3 linked regions of the Cricetulus griseus genome follow. The main gene of each other region encodes a partner of the protein of the gene in region 3 in a complex. Links are inferred from orthologs where the notes say so. Each region holds a gene or a part of one and is shown on either strand. Other genes may lie near its edges.

What was found.
Region 1: the proteins of Ints11 (region 3) and Wdr73 are in contact, whole or in part, in a cryo-EM structure (PDB 8R22), measured with the Homo sapiens proteins. The link is inferred for Cricetulus griseus from reciprocal best matches to the Homo sapiens genes INTS11 and WDR73. Residues at the interface, in NP_060341.2 of Homo sapiens: Tyr206, Thr208, Thr209, Ile210, Arg211, Asp212, Ser213, Arg215, Cys216, Arg217, Glu218, Arg219, Asp220, Leu222, Lys223, Lys224, His226, Phe255, Arg258, Met259, Leu364, Val384, Glu385, Tyr386, Ser388, Lys418, Lys419, Glu421, Phe422, Gln425; in NP_116245.2 of Homo sapiens: Asp5, Asp6, Leu8, Val9, Ser11, Leu12, Tyr15, Gln16, Phe18, Tyr19, Ala20, Phe21, Asp22, Leu23, Glu50, Leu52, Arg59, Leu68, Phe69, Pro70, Glu71, Arg72, Asp73, Phe74, Lys75, Val76, Gly79, Phe81, Asp116, Ser117.
Region 2: the proteins of Ints11 (region 3) and Brat1 are in contact, whole or in part, in a cryo-EM structure (PDB 8UIB), measured with the Homo sapiens proteins. The link is inferred for Cricetulus griseus from reciprocal best matches to the Homo sapiens genes INTS11 and BRAT1. Residues at the interface, in NP_060341.2 of Homo sapiens: Leu9, Val15, Gly16, Lys27, Met35, His36, Met37, Gly38, Phe39, Arg43, Asp47, Tyr50, Thr58, Asp59, Asp62, His70, Leu71, Asp72, His73, Asp87, Gly88, Gln97, Pro101, Ile102, Glu105, Arg108, Lys109, Val112, Asp113, Lys114; in NP_689956.2 of Homo sapiens: Asp25, Thr27, Cys28, Glu30, Lys31, Asp34, Pro117, Ser156, Ser157, Leu158, Phe159, Ser162, Lys358, Ser359, Cys366, Arg367, Arg424, Arg427, Thr465, Lys468, Lys469, Trp514, Glu515, Asp518, Ser519, Glu522, Tyr560, Ser564, Ser604, Glu605.

The regions. Positions count from the first base shown.
Region 1 is NC_048596.1:116,665,845-116,673,334, reverse strand, and holds the start of Wdr73 (WD repeat-containing protein 73), read right to left. Parts: upstream 4,606-7,490; 5' UTR 4,565-4,605; coding exon 4,524-4,564; intron 4,084-4,523; coding exon 4,016-4,083; intron 3,812-4,015; coding exon 3,723-3,811; intron 2,085-3,722; coding exon 1,996-2,084; intron 1,479-1,995; coding exon 1,414-1,478; intron 1-1,413. Other genes in the region: Nmb (neuromedin-B), read right to left, coding at 5,641-5,775, 7,346-7,490. UniProt on the Homo sapiens protein: Component of a multiprotein complex required for the assembly of the RNA endonuclease module of the integrator complex. Associates with INTS9 and INTS11 in the cytoplasm, stabilizing the INTS9-INTS11 heterodimer and blocking the active site of INTS11.
Region 2 is NC_048597.1:77,312,716-77,320,105, forward strand, and holds part of Brat1 (BRCA1-associated ATM activator 1), read left to right. Parts: intron 1-43; exon of another isoform or gene 44-165; intron 166-245; 5' UTR 246-262; coding exon 263-389; intron 390-3,859; coding exon 3,860-4,014; intron 4,015-5,091; exon of another isoform or gene 5,092-5,256; intron 5,257-5,354; coding exon 5,355-5,502; intron 5,503-5,933; coding exon 5,934-6,306; intron 6,307-6,483; coding exon 6,484-6,603; intron 6,604-7,390. UniProt on the Homo sapiens protein: Component of a multiprotein complex required for the assembly of the RNA endonuclease module of the integrator complex.
Region 3 is NC_048595.1:410,681-418,170, forward strand, and holds the start of Ints11 (integrator complex subunit 11), read right to left. Parts: upstream 4,353-7,490; 5' UTR 4,212-4,352; coding exon 4,184-4,211; intron 1,652-4,183; coding exon 1,554-1,651; intron 1,118-1,553; coding exon 1,044-1,117; intron 1-1,043. Other genes in the region: Cptp (ceramide-1-phosphate transfer protein), read left to right, coding at 6,966-7,087, 7,321-7,490.

The sequences.
Region 1 (7,490 bases), on a different chromosome or scaffold from region 3:
AATAATTACATACATACATAAAACAAAAATCCAGCCTCTTGCTAGGCAGTGGTGGTGCACACATTTAATCCCAGCATTTAGGAACCAGAGGCTGGCAGATCTCTGTGAGTTCAAGACCAATGATTTCCAGGACAGCCAAGGATACACAGTGAAACCCTGTCTTGAAAAACCAAAAAAAAGAAAAAAAAAAAAAACCCTCATAAATTTACCACATAATCCAGCAATATATCTCCATATCAAGATTTGCACATCAGGGCTGGAATAGATAAAATCTGCCATACCCATCCAAAGGAACAGTATCAGCAATGAAAAGGAACAAATTACTGATGCATGCCATAACATGGACAGTCTTAAAAAGCATATGCTAAGGGACAGAGGCCAGATATAAGAGAATACATGAAACGTTCCACTGATAAGACTTTTTTCAGAATAGGCAAATCTACTACAGAGAAAAATATATTAATGATTTCTGGGGCAGGGTGTAGGAGTGAGATTAACAGTAAATGGCATAACAGATCTTATTGGGAGTGATAAAAATGTTCTAAAACTGATTTACAGTGATGGCTGTAGAAGTTGGTAAATTTTCTTTAAAAAATCATTGACCTATACACTTGACATAGATGAATCATATGGCAGGTAAAACATACCTCAATAAAATCATTAAACAGCAGCATCATCAAAAACCTACCACATATATAGGGAAGCAACACAAGGAACTGGGAAGGACCACACAGACAAGTGGCAAGGACAGGCACAGGGTCAGGGATGAGCTCAACAGCATCCCCTGGGCAGCAGTGAGGCCTGGGAGAAGTAAAGCTCTGTGCTGACTGTAGGAAGCTTTGCCACAGTGTGGGATGGCTGTGAGGTGTCTCTCCCTGGCGAGGGTTGGATCAGGCTAGAGGGATACATGCTCTGGTGACTGCTGACAGGGACCTGCATTCCCATTGCTAGTCTCCCCAGGGGACTTCCTGCTCCTTCTCTGTGCCCTTGAGAAGTAGTGTGATCTCCGGGTAGACTGCCAGTGAGCCTCTCTCTCACTTGCTCTTTTCCTTCCCCTGAACCTCTTCGATGCTGCTGCCTCCTCCTCCTCCTCCTCCTCCAGCTGGGTGCTTCTGAGTGGCCCTAGCTCAGCCCTTCCTCTGAACCTGCCCAGCTGAGAGGCCCTGGCTCTCTAGGTGCTTTGCCAGTGGCTGGGTTGGTAAACTCAATTCCTGGAGGAAGTTCAAAGCTGCAGCATTTATGCCTATCTGCCACCCTATGGATGCTAACTCATCTTTGCTGTGCAAAAGCAGACAGAAGCTGTGCTGTCCCCTGTCCCCTCCCTTACAGGCTTCTTCAGTGACTCAGCATAAGGGACAGGAACATGAGTGGCTTTCCTAAAACCTCAACTTCCACCAAGTGAACTTCACTCACCATTGTCCTCTCCAATTTGCCACACCTGTAAGTAACACCCTGGAAGGCCAGTGGTCACAAGCAACCTGTTCCAGAGGGACAGAAAATCAGTCCAGACAGAGGGAAGCTCACCCTCACCCTGGCAGCCTTTCCTCTCCAGCCCACTCAGGATCCCTGGGACCAGCTACCCTCATTCAACATAGGAGCAGGCTCACCCTGCTTTAGGGACAGGATCACAATTCAGAGAGAGCCACAGACCGAGCCCAGGCTTCCACAGGTCATGATGGCCACCTAGAAAGGACACAGGTGGGGAGCCTGAACACATAACCCTGACTGAGACAGCTCTCCGAGAAGCTCCAGAGAATTTTCCACTCTGTATTTGGTCCCTGGAGCAACTCCAGAGACTTGGTGGCTCCACTACTCAAAATGGCTGCTAAGCTAATGGTTTCTTCATACACTAAATCTATGTGTGCCCCAGCCCCTTGTGCACCCCACCTACGTCTGGAGACTGAGAAGTGGGCATGGTGGTAAGAAGACATAACACTTCGAGCACTTCCTGTCATCCCAACAGAACAGAAGGTATGGGACACAGACTAGCCATACCTGGTATCTGGCACGTGTTTTAGGTCAAAGACAGACCTGTCTGAAAATCCTCCATGGCGCACTTTGAAATCTCTCTCTGGAAATAAACCCTAAAACACAAAAGGGTGGGGGCAATCAGACAGCACTGAATTTTTCTTTTCTTCTTCTTCTTCTTCTTTTTTTTTTTTTTAACAAGATAGGGTTTCTCTGAATAGCCTTGGCTATCCTGGAAATCACTCTGTAGACCAAACTGTCCTCAAACACAGAGATCCGCCTGCCTCTGCCGCACTGGGATTAAAGGTGTGCGCCACCACCGCTGAGCTCAGCACCTGCTTTTCTTTTTTTTTTTCCTTAAAATTTATTTTTATTTTGAGGTTTATTTATGTACATTGGGGTTTTGCCTGTATGTGTATCTGTGTGAGGGTGCAGATCCCCCTGGAACTGGAGTTACAGACAGTTTTGAACTGCCATGTGGGTACTGAGAATTGAACCTGGGTCCTTTAGAAGGGCCACCAGTGGTTAACCACTGAGCCATCTCTCCAGCCCTGAGCACCTGCTTTTCAAACACCTCAGATGAGTGCCAGGGAAGGAGGCCATGAGAGTTACTCAGCCGGACCTTGGCCGGCAGATGTCTGTAAATGTCTATATGTCCAGTTTCTTTATCTTCCTGCCCATCTCCAAGCCTTCTAGCCTGTCTCATCCTTCTCAGAAGGGGCAAAAACATGCTGAGCCTTCCTGGGAATAACAGAAGAAAACAGCTTCAGCCAAGAAAGCAAGGATTGCCACTGCCAACCACTCACCCTCCCACTAGGAGCCAGGTGGGTTCCTCTAGCAACAGAGACAAGACAACCACTTAACAAGTATTCACTCTATCAGGCACATTTAATTCTTTTTCTTCTCTTCTTCTTCAACTTTTTTCTTTTCCTCCTCCTCCTCTTCTTTCTTCTTTTTTGAGATAAGTTCTCACTGTGTAGCCCTGGCTGGCTAGTGGTAGTAGCAGCCAATAACTATATTTGCATAGTTAACCACTCACAGATTCTCCTCTAACTTCAAAGACTATTCTTTCTTTGCATCATTTAAATTTATTCCCTAAGACAGGCGTTGGTGGCGCACGCCTTTAATCCCAGCACTCAGGAGGCAGAGGCCTTCTCAGATCTCACACCTTCATCCTAGGTGATCTTACCCATCCATATGGTTTCCCTAATGGCTCCCTAATCTATTTTGTGTGTGTGTGATGCTGTGAAGATTGAACAAAGAGACCTTGCTCATGTTATGTGAGTTCTATACCATTGGGCTGCTTCTCAAGCCCCTACATCTATGTTTAAAAATTCTTTACGGGTATGGTGTTTTGCGTGCATGCATGTCTGAACACCACATGCACACCTGGTACCTTGGAGGCCAGAAGAAGGTGCCGGGTGCCCTGGGACAAGAGTTATAGAAGGTTGTGAGCTGCAACGTGGGTGCTGAGAGCCAAACACAGGTCCTCTGGAAGAGCAGCAGGTGCTCTCAGCCCCTGAACCATCTCTCCAGCTCCCTACATCTATTTTTTGATACAGTCATCTGTAGCAGCTTTCTCAGGAAGCACATGACTTTCCTTGGCATTCATCCCTATGCATAGGAGCTTCCTTCTGCTAGGTTTTAAGGACAGACAGACCCAGAGCTTATCAGGGACAGTACCTGGTGGGTAACAGGCACTCCAGAAAGGCCTACGTACAAGTTCCCTTATATTCCCTCTCTGTTTAAGTTACCTGGTTTTCCTTCACAGAGAGTCTGAGAGGTAGTATCAGATGAAGAATCTCATTTTTCTTCGAACTCTCATAACCAGCAACAAACACTCCTGAAACATAACAGTAACTATGATAATTGTCAGAAATATCGTGGATTACAGCTGGATTTATAAATTCTCCCGAAGGATAAATTTCCTCTCAGTTCACTAGTTGGCTCCCATGGAAGTTGGATGGGTCTCTCAAAAGGCTGAGGCCTTAAAATTCTGCCCAAGGGCAGAAAGCCATCTCCTTTAGAGACAGGCTGGGTATATTACCTTTTTCACCAATCCATTCAAGCACTCGAGTGGCTCCTGAGAGGTCAAATGCATGGAAATCTTGGTACCTGCAGTAGAGAGATTTAAAAAAAAAAAAAATCACACGGTGCACGACACTGTACAGCTGACCAAAAACTCTGAGATCACTGCAGAATTAGTGGACCCAGGTTCTGGGACTGGGTCTTTTTTCCGCATTTTACTTCCTGTGTGTTAAGACAAGGCACCAACCCATGGTTTTAATCTGTGGGACTCCCGGGGTTCCGCAAAGTTTATTTCACCAAGTTGATGTGAACAATCAATTGGAAAACCTGTGTTCAGTTAACTTAAAGGCCGGCGCAACATAACCAGTCTTCCCGGGTGAGCACCTGGTCCCACTACTTGCTTACAGAAGGGCCGAGTGTCCCAGAACGAGAGGCCGGGGATCAGCACCGCCCGCGAGCCTACACCGGGTCCGGGCTGCCCGCGCCCTCGCCTACTGCCCACCAGACCCGCCCACGGCCCGATTTACAAGCGCAAAGACTCCACTAGCCAGTCCTCCGCGAGCTCCATAGCAACTGCCGCTTCCTTCGCTCCACTTCCGTCAGTTCGACTTCCGGGGCGGGCACGCACTCTCGCGAGAGGGCGTGGTCTCCCGCCTAGCGGTGCAGGCAGCGCTCGGAGCTGCGCGAAGCCCTCATGTTTCCCGGGTTCTGTGGGCAGACTCCGGGTAAAAAACGACGCAGAAACAGACATTCTTGGATGTCAGCTCCAAGCAGGGCCGGAGACATCAAACATGCCCCGTTTTAGGATCAAGTTTGTGCAGCCAAAGAGCTGTCAAGTGTCCCAAAGCCAGGTACAATACAGACTTAATTGGAACTTAAGGTGAACAGTTAATTTAAAAGTTCGCGTGAATGTGCCCGTGAAGGATACTTTAGGTTTTTTTTTTTTTTAATGAAAGAAATTTTGTTGGGCTAGGAATGTAGCTAGAGTGCTTGCCTAGCATGCTTGAAGCTCGCTTTCCAGTACCGCATAAACACTCCTGGCATGGAGGCGCACACCTGTAATTCCAGTGCTCATGTGCTACATAGGGAGTTCGAGGTCAGTCTACGTTACACAAGACACTGTACCAATCAATAAAGTATCTGACACTCTCATTTTTATTCGATAACTTTGGCAGCCTACAGAGAGGTTCCTACATCCAGAGAAGAACCAGAAAACAGCAGGGCTGGATTCCAGCACACTAAAGCTTGGGATGAAAGATGGGGTGAGTGTAGCATGGTGTAGGCAGCTCCCCATCTCAGGCAAAGAAATTTTAGGTAGTAGAAATGACAATGGGCCCGTGAACAGAGTACCTGATTGCCAAAAGTTGACAATCATTCATTGCCTGGTTGGCACCATGGTGAAGGGTGATGGAGCTTTTCCAAGACCACCCCATCTCAACAAACACACCACCCTTCAGAGTCCTTTCCCCTTTCTTCAAAAGTGTGTGGAAGAAGATGCCCAGACATTCTGTGTAAAGAGCAGGGTTTTTATTCACAACTTCACCAGGGAAGCAAGAACTACAGCAGGAAAGACTTTGTGTCTGCATCATCAAGATTCCAGGTGACCCAACCAGAAATCTCAGCAAAGGAGTAACACACTGGAGCTTAGAATTTACATCCAGATGGGGCCACTCCTGGGGTTGCATTCAGCAGCTTGCCTGGATGGACACATTCTAAGCCATGTTGTTGTGTTGGTCCCATTATTGGCATCACTTCTTCAGTATTGGCTCCAGCAGCCTCCTGTACTGAAGACAAAAGGAGAAGGCTTGACCCACACATCATAGGGATATGCTGTATGCACAGAAGTGGCGGGGGGGGGGGCATGCTCTCTGCTGGGTCTCTGAGTGAGTACCTTTCTCCCTGAAAGGCCTGAGACGAGTCAGGGGTAATGGTTTTCCCAGATTATGGCACTGATTTCAGGGTGGTCATGACAATTAAAGGGCACCACAGAAATCAAGTCCAAGGCACTAGACAAGTGTTAGCGACATTCCTCTACCTCCCCCAAACTCTGCCCCAGACCTCTCTGATGCTCCCTGCCACTGGCCATGGCAGTATTGCTTCCCCTGAGAGTCTCTGGTTGGTCTTGGTATTTCAGGCCTTCAAAATAATCCTAGAGGTGATGTTATGTCTCTTTGGACTCTGCCAGTCCAAGCTTCTTGCTCTTGAATCTGAGATTTCTGGGATGTTTGCTGGGACTGTAGGTAGACTTTCTCTACGGAATGTCTCTCCTTCCATATACACACACTGCTAGGCAGATGTGGGGTGTTACAAAGGGAGTCAGCAGCAGGCACTGCCAGGGGCTTGCAGACAGGCAGTAAGAGCTCCTGCTTACCAAGACCTTTCTGTGTACCACACTGTGCATGTGACATAAATGGGTCTGTTATTTCCATTCAATGAAGAGCGTGAGTAGTTCAGTGACATTCCTAAGGTCACCTGACTACTAACTAGCTATGTGGCCCCAGCATACATGCTACCCCATCACACTGCCTTCTGCACACAGCAGTAAGTAAAGGGAGAGTGCTGTGCAGTGGGGACAGTACCAGAAGCAAAGAATGGAAGAGCTGCCACCCAGCCAGGCAGGACACTAAGGGCTTGAGCACCACAGGTTAGTTAGTGCTTTACAGCCACTTCCACCTGGGGGACATCAACTTGGTGTCTAAAGACTCTTTTGTTTTTGTTTCTCACAAACTCCTGGTCTTAAACCATCCTCCTGATGTATCAGGTACTGCAGGCAAGTGCACCATTGTGACCTGGAGGGAATTTTGGTTATCACAACTTGGTGAGGAGAGAGAATGTGTTAGTGGCGTCAGGTAGGTGGAGACCAGGGATGTGTTTAGCATCCTAAATGCACAGGACAGCCCCCAGAGCCTAGACTGTCGAGAGCACTGACATGATAAAGCCTGCCATTGGTAACTGGACAGGGGGATGGACAGGGAGATGGGAAGTAGGCTGGTTCTGAGTTCCCTTTGCACCGCTAGGGCTCAGAGGTCACAGGTCAGACCACAGGCAGACTGGAACAGCAAAGGCAGATGACAACTGGGATGGACAAGGCTGTGTGGCATGGAGGAGGACAGTCTGTTCAAAGGCAAGGATATCCTAGTCTGTGACTTCAGACTGGGGATGGGCAAAGAGGAACTTCTTTCCCAAGCAGTTTGCTGCGTCATTTTCTGGTCTTTGGGATATTTCCCCTTTGAGCCCTGAGACCCTGACTTTCTAGAATCCATGCATATTACATCCTGGCTAGGCAGTCCCACCCTGAACCCAAGCTGGGTGACAATTCTTCCATGTTGGTACTGGGGTAGAGGCTCACCTGAATTGGGGAGTCTGGGCCACTGAGGTTCATGCCTAAGGCTTTCTTTAGCAGGAGGATCCGGAACAGATCATGACTCAGCGGCAGTCTCTGGTCCCTCTGGATGCTGGGAAGTGCTGTCCCCACAAGCGACAGGCCTGGGGGC
Region 2 (7,390 bases), on a different chromosome or scaffold from region 3:
AGGCCTTGTGGCTCTGATTAACATTTCTTCACTCACTGACCAGTGCAGCTACCAGGACTCGCTCCTCTTGATTGCCCAGGTTCCCCTGGACTGAGCTTAGCATCTTTGTGGGATCAGAGTTCTGGTCCATGTGAAGTTTCCCGGGCCCCTCCCCCATCATAGCAGGTATTGAAGGCTGCCTTTGACTAGGGTGGCTGGGTCTGAAGCCAGATATGATCATGGCTGATTCATTGCTTCCTTTGTAGGGACCACTGTCCTGATCATGGACCCAGAATGCTCCAAGCTCCTCCCGGCTCTCTGTGCTGTTCTGGCAGATCCCAGGCAGCTGGTGGCAGATGACACCTGCTTGGAGAAACTGCTGGATTGGTTTAAAACAGTGATGGAGACAGGTAAGGTCATGGTGTATAGAACTGTCCATCCATCCGGTGTCTTTGTTTCACCTCCTTGAGGCTCTCTGGATGAAGAGTCAAGATGGGGTGCCAGGGTGGTGAACGAAAGTCCCATGGGAGTCCAACCACATTTCAGGCTTCCTGCTGTTCGGTTCACACTAGGTGTTTGTGGAGAGCACGACCACGTTGTTTAGCCATCTTTCTTGTATTTTGCTTATTTTGAAGAACTTAGAACCCTGGGTGGATGTGGTGGGACATGCCATCCAGAAGTCAAGGCAAGTGGACCTCAATTTCAAGGTCAGCCTGTGCTACATCGTTCAAGGCCAGCCGGAGTTACATTTTTGCTGTGTGTGTGGGTGGATCTTAATTTATTTAATCACTTGCATTGTTTGTGTTCCCAATGTTTTGTTATTATAAATAGTGCTGTACTAGCTTTCCTTGAGTGTGAGTAGCCTGGCAACTGGAAGTTTTTCCTCCCATGGTTGATCATTGTCTTCTAAAAGATTCTGTGATCCTTGTCTTGTCATAAATACCTACCTTCATTGCTTCCTTGGTTTGCTATTCTTTTTTTGCATTTGAGACATGATCTAATGTAGCCTAGGCTGTCTTCAAACTCACTCTGTAGCCAAGGATGACCTGGAACCTCTGGTTCTCCTGTCTGTGGCTGAGTGCTGGGATCATAGGTGTGAACCATCACTCACTGTTTTTATTGGATGCTGAGGATGGAGCCAGGGCTTCCTGCATGGCAGACGATCAATTTACCAATGAAGTTATATCCCCAGCATTTATGTTTTTTGTGTGTGTTTTGTCTTCCCTGTTTTCTTTTGTTTGTTTTATGTTTTTGAGATAGGGTTTCTCTGTGTAACAGTCTTGGCTGTCCTAGAACTCATTCTGTAGACCCGGCTAGCCTGGAACTCAGAGATCCACCTGCCTCTGCCTCCCAAGTGTTGGGATTAAAGGTGCTGATGTGTGATATGTGTGTGTTTACATATGTATAACATACACATACTGAGGCAGGGTCTCCCTTTCTCTTTCACTTGAACCCAGAGCTTGTCCGTTTGGGTGTTCTAACAGGACAGCTGAGGGTCACCTATCTATGTCTCTGGAGTGCTGCCTGTCCAGCATTTTTATTGGTTCTGGGAATCTGAACTCTAGCCCTGCACAGAAAATTTTACCTACTGAACCATTCTCCAGACTTTGAAGCCTACTTTTTAGTCAAGTTTTTGCAAGTAATTTTGCAGGATTGTGTGTGTGTGTGTGTGTGTGTGTGTGTGTGTGTGTGTGTGTGTGTGTGTGTGTGTGTGTGTGTGTTTTGCATGCATACCCAGGTATCTACATACGAAGGTCAGAGCAGGATATTAGACATCTTCTACCATCACTCTCCACCAATTGCCATGAGATAAAGTCTGTTACTAAACCTGAAGTTACAGGAAACTAGGCTGGCTAGCCAGGCAGTTCTTGGGATCTGCTTGTCTCTACCCCTTCCCCAACTCTAGAATTAGAGGCATGCAGACACATGCCTGGCTTTTATGTGAGTGCTGGGAATTCAAACTCAGGTCCTCATGCAGTGCCTGCCTTATCCAAGGAACCATCTCCCCAGCCCCTTTCACAAGTTTGGTTTGTTGTTGTTTCTTTGGAGGCAGGGTTCAGCTGTGTAGTCCAGGCCACCATTCAGACCAAGTTGGCTTTGAACTGAGAGGTCTTCCTGCCTCTGCTTCCCAAGTGCCATGTTTAAAGGTGTGTGCTGCCACATCTGACCTGCAAGTATTTCTAAACATCTTTATGGAGATATGATTTACATGTCACAGAGTCCACCTATTTAAAGTTTACCTGTTCAGCTGGGCATGGTGACTCACATCTGTAATCCCAACATTTGGGATGCTGAGGCAGGAGTGTTGCAAGTTTGAGGCCAGTCTGGGCTCCATAGTGAATTCAGGGCCAGCTTGGGCTACAGAAGGACACTCTGTCTCGAAATTGTATATAAAATAAAATAAATGATTGGAAATGAAGTGTGCCAGTTTACTGGGTTTTAGTCAACTTAGGAGGTGTCTAGTCTCATTTTGTAACTTTTTGTTCCCCCCATAGCTAGGTGTCCTTTGGTAGACAGTTCTTCCTCCCACCTCACCCCCAATTTCCCTCAATTTTTAATTTTTATTTTTAGGGGGAGTTCGAGACAGAGTTTCTCTGTGTAGCTTTGGAGCCTGACCTGGCATTCGCTCTGTAGTCCAGGCTGGACTTGAACTCACAGAGATCCACCTGCCTCTGCCTCCTGAGTGCTGGGATTAAAGGTGTGTACCACCAATGCCTGGCCCCTCAATTTTTAAAATGTTCCACATGATGGAGCTGTGCCTGTTGGTGCAGGCCTGTTAGCCCACTTACTTGGGGCTGAGACAGGAGGATTATGGTCTGGGCTGCACAGTGAGTTTGAGGCAACTTAGGAAGATGCTGTTGAAAACGAGTGGCAGGGCTGGTAGCCAAGTGTGGCAGAGCACTTGGGAAGCAAAGGCAGGAGGGTCAGGAGCTCATGGTCAGCATTAGCTGCCTGGCAAGTTCAAGGCTAACCTGGGCTAGACTTTGTAAAAACAAGCAAACAAACTACCCCAAAACAACAACAACAACAAAAGGCCCTGGGAAGTAGCTCAGTGGGCCCACCACACTTGAGGCCCTTGGGTTCAGTCCCTAAAACTGGCCCTCTCCCACCAAAAGGGAAAAAAAAGGTCTGGTGACATACCTATAGTGTCAGCATTTGGAAGATGGAGGTGGGAAGATCAGGAGTGCAAGGCCATCCTCAGCTATATAACATATTCAAAGCTAACTTAGGTTACAAGAGACCCCGCCTTAAAAAAAAAGAAAATGTTCCACATGTTGGAGTGAACAGTTTTCACTTTTGTTCATTAGATTGGCCTTCACCATTCACATCTGCTGTGTTTGACAATCTGTCCCTCAATTCTTTCTTGGAGGTGTGTAAAAGTGTTGCCCTGAGATTGTAAATTCAATTTTTTTATGTAGTGTTGTCTTTAATGGCTCCTTATTTATTTCATTTCTTTTCTCTCTCTTTCTTTCAGTCACTCTTCTTTCTTTTTTCCGTTTTTTTCCCTTTAATGATAATAGAAGTAGACAAGTATTTTATTGCTGAGCCAAGCCACCAGCCTCTTACTGGGGAGGTTCTAGGCAGATGCTCTACCACTGAGCCAAACCCCCAGCTCCTTACTGGGGAATTCTAGGCAGGTGCTTTATGTGGAATTACAGCCCCAGCTCTTTACTTGTTGTCTTTATGGTTCTTGTCTGTATCTTTTATTTACTGCTGAGTCATTGGCTTTTGGGGGAGGTCTCCTTAATAGGTTAAGAGCTATTTGTTGCAAAAACCCCTCCTCCTGGGACTACTCAATCCTGAGGGTTAGGGATATGTGAGCTACTTCTAGAGAGGTTCTCCCTGGTCATTGCTGTCTTGGGATGTCCTGTGTCTACAGAGTCCAGCCTCCATCTGCTGCAGGACCACCCCTGCCTAATGGAGCTACTGTCCCATGTGCTGAAAACACAGGATGTGAGCCCTAGGGTCCTCTCCTTTGTTCTACGCCTTGTTGGCATCTTTGCAGCCCAGGAGGACTGTTTCCAGTACCTTCAGGTGAGCCTTTTTCTCCCATGTGTTGTCCCCTTAGGGGTGGGCATCCTTTCCCTCTGGATTAGGAGCCATCTCAGGACGTGGGTGTCAGTGGCTGGCCCTGCTCCTGTGGCTGGCCTGTGTATCAGGATTTCAATCCCAACATCACCCCATATTGCTCCTACTTGGAAACACTTGGCTAGGGATGATGCTGGCAGGCTTCCCATTATCACCGTCTGTGTGATCCTTGCCACGTTCTGAGCTTCTCTTTCTGATGGGCATGTGAGGGTTGGAGGACACTCCGGGTGCTTTGTCTGCAGCATAGTCATGGATTGGTTGCATGGGGGAAAGAACAGAGTGGTCCACATGTAGTGACTCCACCTGCCAGCTCCAAGGGATCTGATTCCCTCTTCTGGCTTCCACAGGCACCTGATTTCCTGTACATACCTACACTCAGACGTATACACATAATTTAAAAAATAATAAAAATCAGGCCGGGCATAGTGGCGTATGCCTTTAATCCTATCATTTGGGAGGCAGAGGCAGAGGCAGATGGATCTCTGAGTTTGAGGCCAGCCTGGTCTACAAAGTAAGTTGCAGGACAGCTAGAGCTGTTACACGGAGAAACCCTGTATTGAAAAACAGACAAATAAATAATAAAAATCTTACAAAGAAAGATGAAGGAGGAAAGAAAACCTGTTCATTCTTCCTGTGACTCTCATGAGGGCAGAGTGATGGTGCTTGGGCCTGGGAACAGCTGTGTGGCACCAATTGGTGCCTCCACCAATCCTGTTGGTTTTTTTGTTTTGTTGTTTGAGGGTTTTTTTTTTTTTTTTCCCACCAAGACTTTATGTATTTTGTTTTTGCCTTTTGTGACAGTGTCTCTCTATGTAGCCCTGGCTGTCCTAAAACTTGCTATGCAGCCCAGCCTCTGCCTCCCAAGTGCTGGGATTAAAGATGTGTGCCGCCACACCACTGTGTTTATTTTTCTTTTATACCTACAGTATGTCTGTGGACCACATGCATGCAGTTCCTGTGGAGGTCAGAAGAAGGCATCAGATCTCCTGGAACTGGGCTTTAAATAGTGGCAGGCTACCATGTGGGTGCTGGGAGTTAGGCCTGGATTCACCAGAGCAGCCAGTGCTCTTAAACCCTGAGCCATCTTTCCAGCTCTCTGCTTTCATTTTTGACATAAGGTCTTACCATGTGTCCCTGGCTGAGCTAGAATTCAAAGAGACCAACCTGCTTCTGCCTCTGGGGTTAAAGGTGTGTACCACCAAGCCTGGCTCCACTAGTCCTGACAAACCAAAACAAAACAAAAAGCCTTCTCCCTCTGCATTCCTGATGCTTTCTTTGCTTCTTAGCAGGGGGAGTTGTTGCTGGGGCTCTTTGGAGAGACAGGTGCCCTTAGCTGGACAGCCTGGAACATGCCCAGCGTACGCAGTGGCTGGATCCAGGGCTTGTGCTCCCTGGCACACCACCCCAGCGCCCTGCACTTCCTGGCTGACAGTGGTGAGTATAGCCCACACCCTTCCCCAGTTCATATAGGCCACTCTTTCTTCGAGTGCCTGTGCTGTGGGATCTCTAAAGGAGCCCCTGAACCTCTGAATCGAGTCTTCTTAGCTGGGGAAGGGTGGTGGTGGTCTAGAGTTGTCAGGATAAGCACAGATGATTATAGGGATATTGTCATCTTTGACTCCTAGGATCTGGGTGGCTCCCGCAGTAGTGTATTGTCAAGCAGTCATGAGTTTGTCCTTGAAACAAATTAGAACTGGTTAAAAGCTATGTTGACTTTAAAGCCAGCATGCTGGAGGCTCATGTTGACTTTGCTTGTGAGCAGAGGGGAGTCTGGTGCTCTCCCTGAGGCCTGGAAGGGTGTGACAGAGACAAGGTACTCTCTGCATGCTTCCTCACTCAGGCTGACCTTTCGCTGCCCACTCCAGGTGCTGTGGACACGATCTTCGCCTTGCAGGGAGACCCCAGCCTGTTTGTGGCCTCTGCAGCCAGCCAGCTCCTAGTACACATCCTGGCTTTAGCCATGCAAGGTGGGGCTTCAGGGTCCCCCATCTCAGAAGCTGCTGCCTGGCCTATCTGTGCCCAGAAGATTGTGAACCACGTGGAAGAGTCCTTGCATTCCAAAGCCACCCCACAGGTCACACAGGCCTTGAATGTACTGACCACCACCTTTGGGCGCTGCCATAGCCCCTGGACAGGGGTCCTCTGGGGGCGACTGAGTCCCCCTGTTGCCTGCCTGTTTGAGAGAGACCCCATTCCAGCTGTACATTCGCTCATGGACCTCCTGCTCAGCGTAGCCAGGTCAGGTGGCTGCAGGGGCTGAGGGTGAGTGGTACTTGCCTGTGAAGTCTCAGAGCAGCTGATGCTTCATGAGGAGGACCCTAGTACTGTCACCTCAAGGGATGGTATCTTCAGGACTGAGCATGTTTGCAACTGTCTAGTTAGGCACTGATGGAGGAGTGGTTTTTCTTTCTGTAGGTCCCATGTGTTGAATTTTGCAGCCTGTGGTCTGTGGGAGATGCTGGCCCAGACTCTGAGCCGCCTGAGTCCCACACAAGCTGGGCCTCTAGCCTTGGGGACCCTGAAACTTCAGCATTGGTATGATTGGGGGTGCTGAGAGTGTTACACTAATGGTTGGGAAACTTTGGAAACTGGGAAGCCAGATGTGAACATAGGCCAGGTGGGAGAGCAGGCAGGTAGGATGGGCAGATATGAAAGCAATAGTTGCCTCCTTCTGTCCCTCTCTCCTCCTCCCCTTTCCTTCTCTTTTCCTTTCTCAGTACTTGGTGTGGAACTCAGTACTTCATACATGCTAGTCAAGTACTCTACCACTGAGCCATGCCCCCAGCCCCTCACTGGGGGATTCTAGGCAGGTATTCTACCACCTAGCTACAACCCCAGTTCCTCACTGGGAGATTCTAGGCAGATGCTCTACCTCTGAGCCATACTTCAGCCCTCAGCTTGGATTACAGACATGCTCCACCATACTGAGCAAGAGACATAACTTTTGAAACAAAAGTTTTGTGGTGCCCCCAAAGCCAAAGCTAACTTCTGAGCAATGTGTAGCTGTTCTCTGACCTCTACTATGGATGAGCCAGGCTCCTGGAGCCCCATAGTGTCTACTCCAGGGGGTGTGCAGAGATATGGGTTGCTGCGTGTGGGATGCAGGGAGGAAGGGTGTTGAGTGTCTGAGCAGGCCCAGAACACCAGGATGGTCCATCATAGAATGTGTAAAAGGACATTTCAGGTCTTTGAACACAACATGAGCACACTGGGGTACTACCTTAGGAGCCTGAAAATTGCCTGTCACTCCGATCAGGGAGTGTGACCAGCCCTTCTGGGGACCCTGAGACCTAGTGATTGCCTTGGTTGGCCTTCTGTCCCA
Region 3 (7,490 bases):
AAGGAAAAGGAAAAGGAAAAACACAAGGGAGAGTAACACCTGAGGTTGTCTCTGGCCTCCTACACACTACATCTGAATCAGACGGAAACAAGTTGGTGAGGCCAGCAAATACAATAGCAGGAAAAGAGCCACTATCTGTCAGGTAGTCAGAAAGTCTTCCTGATGGAGGCAAGAGAGAATTGAGACTGCTCAGGGCAAGGCCTAGGAATATCCTTCCCAAAAAGAGTGGGGCCAGTCAACCCAAAGCAGGCAGGCAGTGAGTGATCCATGTCTAGAAGGGACCAAAACACCAGAGCCTGAGTTACTGAGAACACATCTTACCAAGATGGACTGTTTTAGGCCCAAAGGACCACTCTGGCTAATGGCAGCAGGATAGGTGTTGAGAGGGAAGTGCTACGGTCAGAATGTGGCCAACTAGGAGGTGACAGCAGGATTTGTGTTGAGAGGGAACAGTTGGCAGCCTATCTGGACAGAACATGAAAATGGGAGCCAAAGTGGGAAGAAAGATGTCTCCCTTGCTCAGCTCTACCGAGCTGAGGTGGTAGCAACTGGCAGCTAGACCATTAACTAGGACATCAGTAATGGCCAGTGAGCAACAGGGCTTAGCACTCTTGAGACAGCAAAGGAACAAGAGAAAAGGAGGCTTAAGGAACCAGAGTTAGAGGCTGGAAGAGGATGTAGAAGCAGAAATACACCAGATGTACTTAGCTAGTAAAATGGGAAGGAATTGGTGAGAGAGTACAATCACTGTTGCCAGGTACTGTTGGGAAAAGGTCTCATGGGGTCATCTAGGCTGGAGAGACCCATACTTAGCAGGTGAAGGGCACATCTTGGCACTGGCTACCCTAGTTAGGTCTCTTACTTCCTGGGGCACCTGCTAGGCTTTATGTCATGACACGAAAGGGCACAGCCAACAGGTACAATCATCTTCCTGGCTCTGAGGGGATAATGGCCACTCAAAAGAATGAGTCACAATGTAGCTTGGTTAACATAGCCTCTACAATAGGGTATAAAAAAGGACATCAAATTCCTGACAAACCTACCTGATGATTACACAGTCCAGAAAGTCAGTCAGCCGGCCACTCTGGGTGATGTAGGAAAAGTCTGGAAAGCGCCTCTGATGAGACAAAAGTGGGAACACAGCAGGCTACCCAAGGTTCAAGAAGCAAGAGTGGTGCACCCCAAGGAATGACCCCAGCAAACTCTTACATCAGTGGGTTTGCTATTGGCTATTCAAAACCTCATGGAAAGGTCAAGCTACTAGCTGACCTCATGAACAAGCAGCAAATAGCTGAGCCCAAAGGGTCCATATGACCAGTCTCAAGGATCCTCAAGAGGTTCATCTCAGCTGGTCTCTATTTTTCAAACACCATGTGACAGGGCCACCTGTCCCCACCCAGCATGGGTATAGCTGTCCAGGAATGCCCCCACTGCCCACTTGCCCCATCTGTCCCCTCTCTGAGGTCCCAGGATTCACATGGCTAGGCAGAGCATGACTAGAAAGTAGATTGTGGCCCTTGCTGCCCTCTGGACCACCCGCCCAGAGTACTCACGTCATCATTGTAGCCCATGTGCATCCCACAGTCCAACATGACATTCTTGCCCGAAATGGAGACCAGGATGCAGCTGCGGCCCACATCCTGGCCAGCCCCTGCTCAAGAAAGGTAGGTAAGAGACAAAGCCATGGCTCCTCCCTCACTTTTTCTCCACTTTCTTTCCCTCACTATTGGAAGGGCTGACCTCCACTGAACTACTTGTTACCGTTGGCTCTACAGGATCTAAGACTGTTGGGTAGACAGACACATGGGCTAGGCAACAGGTACCTTCACATGCAGATAAGAGGAATGCACAATGGGGAGACAAAGCACTATGCTAGGATCACATGCCCTCCCTTCTCTATGCTTTACTTCAAATCTCAAAGTTGCAACAAACTCCTAGCAGAGCATTAAGCACTGGCTGGCTGTGGTCCCCAACACTGAACAGAAGCAAGCCACAGCTACCTCTCTGTGGAATATCACTGTTGTTTCCCCAGACCTTAGTCCAATTACTCCTGACCCTCAATGGGGCTGCAAATCAATGAGGCTTCTTCCCTTGGATTTCTGCTTGAAGAAGCTGAGACCTGGATCCTGAGGTTTGGTGTTGAGTGGTATCATATCCACATGGCTTCAGCCCAGCCATAAAGAATCATGACTCTGACCAATAACTAGCTGCAGCACACATGGCCCACTTTAGTCAGTGTGCAGCACAGGCCCCATACCACTGAGCCCCTAGCTCAGCCTCAATAGGAGTTCCCCCCATGGTCTTGATGACTACCAAACCCTGCTAGCTATTCAGCCCAAGATACTGACCACACTTGACACACCTATCTTCCCCATTTAGCTGTTATCTCCCTGGAATCTGGGTTCATAAGAAGAGAGATACAACAGGAGTCTGAGAACAACAAACAGCCTTGTACCCATCTTGGATCCTATAGTCTCCATCTGCCAACTTCAAGCACCAAGCACTATCAGTACCACAAACATCACCCATGGCCCAGTCTGCCTTCCTTTTGTCGTCAGGCACAATGAGGCTGGGGATGAGTTGGCCTCAGGTTCTCCCGCAGGCCTGTTCCTACTACCTCCAGATGTGTGTTCCCTGAGGGAAAGTTCTTCGCGTCCTTCCCCATAGGACCTCTAGCCCTAAAGCTGTGTTAGGCCTTGAGACCCTTGAAACATTTATAGAAGGGAAATGGCTACACCCTTGCAGGGGAGGACCTCACATCACAGGCATCCATAATCACACACTACCAAGAATGGTGAAAAGGTATGCTTTTTGGAATTATAAAGTTCCAGTTCTTGTGAACTGGTAAATGTTGTCCCCAAAGAGACTTACAATTCCAAGAAAGAACAGAAGCCCACACTGCAGAGACATTAGACATGGGAGGAGACAAAACTGAGAAGAAAGCAGAAGATACTACCTTGTCAATACATCTCTGCACAATACAGATTTACATCCTTGGGGAATGAGGTGATTAGACACTGAGTACATCAGGTGGAGATTAAACAACTGTACCAAAAAGTTTCAGAACTGTGGCAGAAAACAAACTTTTCCTAGTGGGAGGGTAGGAGTCAGGGAGCTGGGTCTATGAATATGCTTGCTCTTATTTGATCATGTAATCTAATTAGTACCTAGATGGGATGGGGGTAGCCAGTATGAGAGGTTGCTCCTGCTAAGGTCCTGTGATGCAGTGAGTTGGGACTAAGTTCTAACCAAAATGGCCTAAGGATCTGGATCATATGAATGAGATGGTGCTCCAACACCTGACAACACATGCATGAGGAAAAGCCCAAGGAACATTCAGCAAGGTTCTAGAACCCCAGATCTCAAATGGTTGTTTCCTCCAACACACCATACTATGCTGTTAGGACTTTTAGAAGTCTAGACTTTTCTTTTTTCTTTTCTTTTCTTTTTTTGGCTTTTCGAGACAGGGTTTCTCTGTGGCTTTGGAGGCTGTCCTGGAACTAGCTCTTGTAGACCAGGCTGGTCTCAAACTCACAGTGCCTCTGCCTCCCAAGTGCTGCGATTAAAGGCGTGCACCACCACCGCCCAGCTAGATTTGTATTTTCTACCACGAACAAATATACTTTTTTTAAAATTCGGGATGGACCAGACACAAAGACTGAACTGAGGGGTAACAACAAGCAACCTGGGCACGATAAGCAGGTCGGGGAGATGGAAAGAAAAACAGAAGTGAGGAAGACGCCCAAGCAGAGGGAGTCTTGAAGCAGCAATCCACGTGCAGGACAGGAAAGTCGCCAGGACGAGTTCTGTGGTTCTGAATTTAACACCGCTAACAAGCTAAATACAGAGGCAACGCCTGCCCAAAACTCATTGCGCCTCACAGACACCTTGGGCTTCAGGGTCTCATTCTCGTCTCGCTGTTTGGCAGCCTACAGTCTAGGCACAGAAGCGGGGCCTCCATAACTCATACCGAGCCCCAGGGCCAGGAATCAACCCCAATCTCTTCGACCCCGGTGCCAGGCAGAGGTGAGGAAGCACCAACTCGGAAACGTTCCACCACACCTTTCGCTCCTTGGGACACACAGCTGGGGCTGACCGCTGGTTGTATTGCTAGACTGCTTGCTATGAAGGGACCGGCCCGACTCGCCGGACGCCGCAGAAGACGCTTCACACTCGGACTCACCCAAGGGAGTGACTCTTATTTCAGGCATCGTCCGGGAGGCAGTCTCGAACTGCGTTTCCACAGCCCGCGTGCACCGCCCGCAGGAAGGCCTCCACCTCGCGCGCGCGGCTTACCCCCCACGCCCAGCCACTGCGACTCCCACACAATACGGAGGGGGCAACTGCCAAGACGCCGGCTTCCTGTCCTCGCGCCGGAAACGCGGGCCGATAAGTCGAGTTCTAATTGGGTGATGAGCAGCCAATTGGGATGAAGTAGCAGCGAAGGGCGGGGCAGCGGCTGACCCTTGGGCTGCAACTCAAGACTTCTGCCCAACCGCAGGCTTCGAGCTGTCTCGGAACAGGCTCCGGGCGTGGGAGAAGCATAGGGACGCCTACCTGACGAGATCCAGGCCGCGGAGTCGCGCCTCTGTAGACAACCGGGACGGACGGGCAAAGATTCGGCTCCCACAGCAACCTTATTGTAACTTTGGTCAACTCTCCCCATCACTGACCTCTGCCACACCTTTGACACTTCGCCACAGGAATCCGTCCCAGGTGAGATTTGCGGACCTCCCTGAACGGCCTTGGCTCACTGCTACGCCTGGGTGTATATGCTGTGTGCTAGCTTGTGAGTTTTCTGCCGGCTGTCCACCCTGTCTAGCTTGATCTTCTGTAGGAGGCTTAGACGTATCCTGCATCACCTCCCGGGAGCTGACGAGTCGCCCTCCCTTCCTTTTCTTTCCAGTTTACCACGGACAGCAATAAGTGGCTACTTGACTCCTGGGTTAGGCTCTGAGCAGGAAGGCCTAGCTGCAGGATTGTTAAGTGGCAAAAAAAAAAAAAAAAAGAAAGAAAGAAAGAAAGAAAGAACTGTAGGAGGCTTCAGAGACTATTTGCTCAGTGGACAGCAAACAGGCCCTAAGAGAGGGTGTGTGGCAAGACTATGGGCGTCGCCATCTTTCTTAGGCTGTCCGTGACACCTGAACACAAGGTGAGCCCATCTCCAGGGTCAGGGTCTGGAATTTGTGATGGGAGTCCAGTCCAACCCATGGGACCGTATCACAACTGACAGCCTCAGTTATGGATCGGGAAACATTCAGACCACATTCCCAGAGCTGGAGCACTGAGTCATAGGACTGTCTGAAGAAAAAAAAAAAAAAAAAGAATTTGCACACAGATCCAGGTACCCTGGATGAGGATGGTTTTGGGGGGACTTTGATGGTACAGCAGTTAGGGAAGGGATCCAGCGCTAAGGGACACAGGAACCTGCAGAACTGGTGTTGAGTGTCCATGCTGGACATGGATGAGATGCAGCCACCTCCCACAGGCTTGATCCTGGACATAAAGTCATGGCTCTATGGTACCAGGGAAGGTGGGGGCTGGATGCTTGGAGTTATTCATTCATGGTGTGAGCACAAAAGGACCCATGGGGCACAAGCTTGTAGTTCTAGCTACTCAGGAAGCAGGAAGATTGAAAGTGAAAGCCTAGTCAGGTGTGATAACACATGCCTTTAATCCCAGCAATCAGGAGGCAGAGGCAGGCAAATCTGGGTTCAAGGCCAGCCTGGTCTACAGAGTCAGGTCCAGGACAGCCAGGATTACACAGAGAAACCTTGTCTCAAAACAACACATTAAAAAAATGCCTAATTTAGCCGGTCGGTGGTGGCCAACGCCTTTAATCCCAGCACTTGGGAGGCAGAGGCAGGTGGATCTCTGTGAGTTCAAGACCAGCCTGGTCTACAAGAGCTAGTTCCAGGACAGCCTCCAAAGCCACAAAGAAACCCTGTCTCGAAAAGCCAAAAAATAAAAAATAAAATAAAATTAGCCAGACAGTAGTGGTGCATGCCTTAAGATGCATGCCTTTAATCCCAGCACTTGGGAGACAGAGACATGTAGATCTCTGTGAGTTCAAGGCCAGCCTGGTCTACACACTGAGTTCCAGGACAGCCAGGACTATTACACAGAGAAACCCTGTCTCAAAAAAAAAAAAAATATGGGAACTAGCATGTTTGTGGAATGAACGTAAAAATGCCTACTGTATCCAGAGCCCCACCTTACCTTAGGGCCCCTTCCTATCCTAGATCACTTCCAGAATGTTCTATGGAGCTGATGGGAGGATTTATAGCAGTCCTTTGTGTGTGGTAAGACCTTTGGCCCAGCTACCCTGTTATTTGGGGATGCATACCATTTCAACAATAGGAGTGTCCATCTGTCTGTCTAGCAGATGCCAGCCCACAGCCTCTGATTTAATTTGGGGGATACAGCCCTGATCAAGGAAGGGAAAGCCTGTCTAGCCATCCTTTTACTCATCCCTGTGTGAGAATCACTTGTTTTTTTAAGAGTCCTGATCTTTGTTTTGGTACAGCTTCCCATCCGAATGCTGCCTTGATACAGTGAGTTCCAGGTATGGCCAGGGTCCAGGACTATGCCTCCCTTTTAGAAACATTACCCTAATGTGTGAAACAGATGCTCTAGGAAGAGAAGAAGCAGAAAAGCAAGAAGCAGTAGCAGATGCAAACAGTGCAGCCATGGGTTCTCAGGTCAGAAACTGACCAAATTACTAGCCTGAAGGGCCAGGAGCAGCCATGTCACGATCTGTGGGTACAGAATTCATCAAGGGTATAGCAAGGTCAGATTGGCTTGTGTGAGAGCTTGCAGCTCCTGAGGAAAACACTTGGGTAAAGGGATGATTCTCAGCAAAGAGTTTTAGAATCCCACTTTCACTTTCAGACCTTCTTGAGACTATAAACCAGAGTGAGATGACTACAAGCTCTGTGTGAAACTATTTCAGCTCATTGTGGAAGATGGATGGCCCAGAGACAGATTTCAACCTTAAAGTCGTCCTGATCAGCTTCAAGCAGTGTCTCAATGAGGAGGAAGAGGTGCTGCTGGACCACTATATCAACAGCTGGAAGGGGCTGGTCAGGTGCGTTTATTGGGGCTGCTGAAGATAGTGGTTTTGCCAGTCAGAGCTCACATGGGACACCAGCATTCCACATGGCACAGGAACATGGGAACAGCTAGCAGGCAGTTTCCTTCAGCCTCCCTGCCCTTGCCTCCAGACTAACAAGTGCTCTAGCAGATTCGAGGTAATATCTCCTCCACTACAGCATGACTGCCAGTCTAGGTAGGGCCTCAAATGTATACTTCCTTGCACAGGTTTCTGAACAGCCTGGGTGCCGTGTTCTCATTCATTTCCAAGGATGTGGTCTCAAAGCTGCAGATAATGGAGCACCTGAGGAAAAGCCCACAGTATGAACACTACACTAGCTTGCAGTCGATGGTGGCCTATGAGGTGGGCAACAAGCTGGTGGACCTAGACCGCCGCT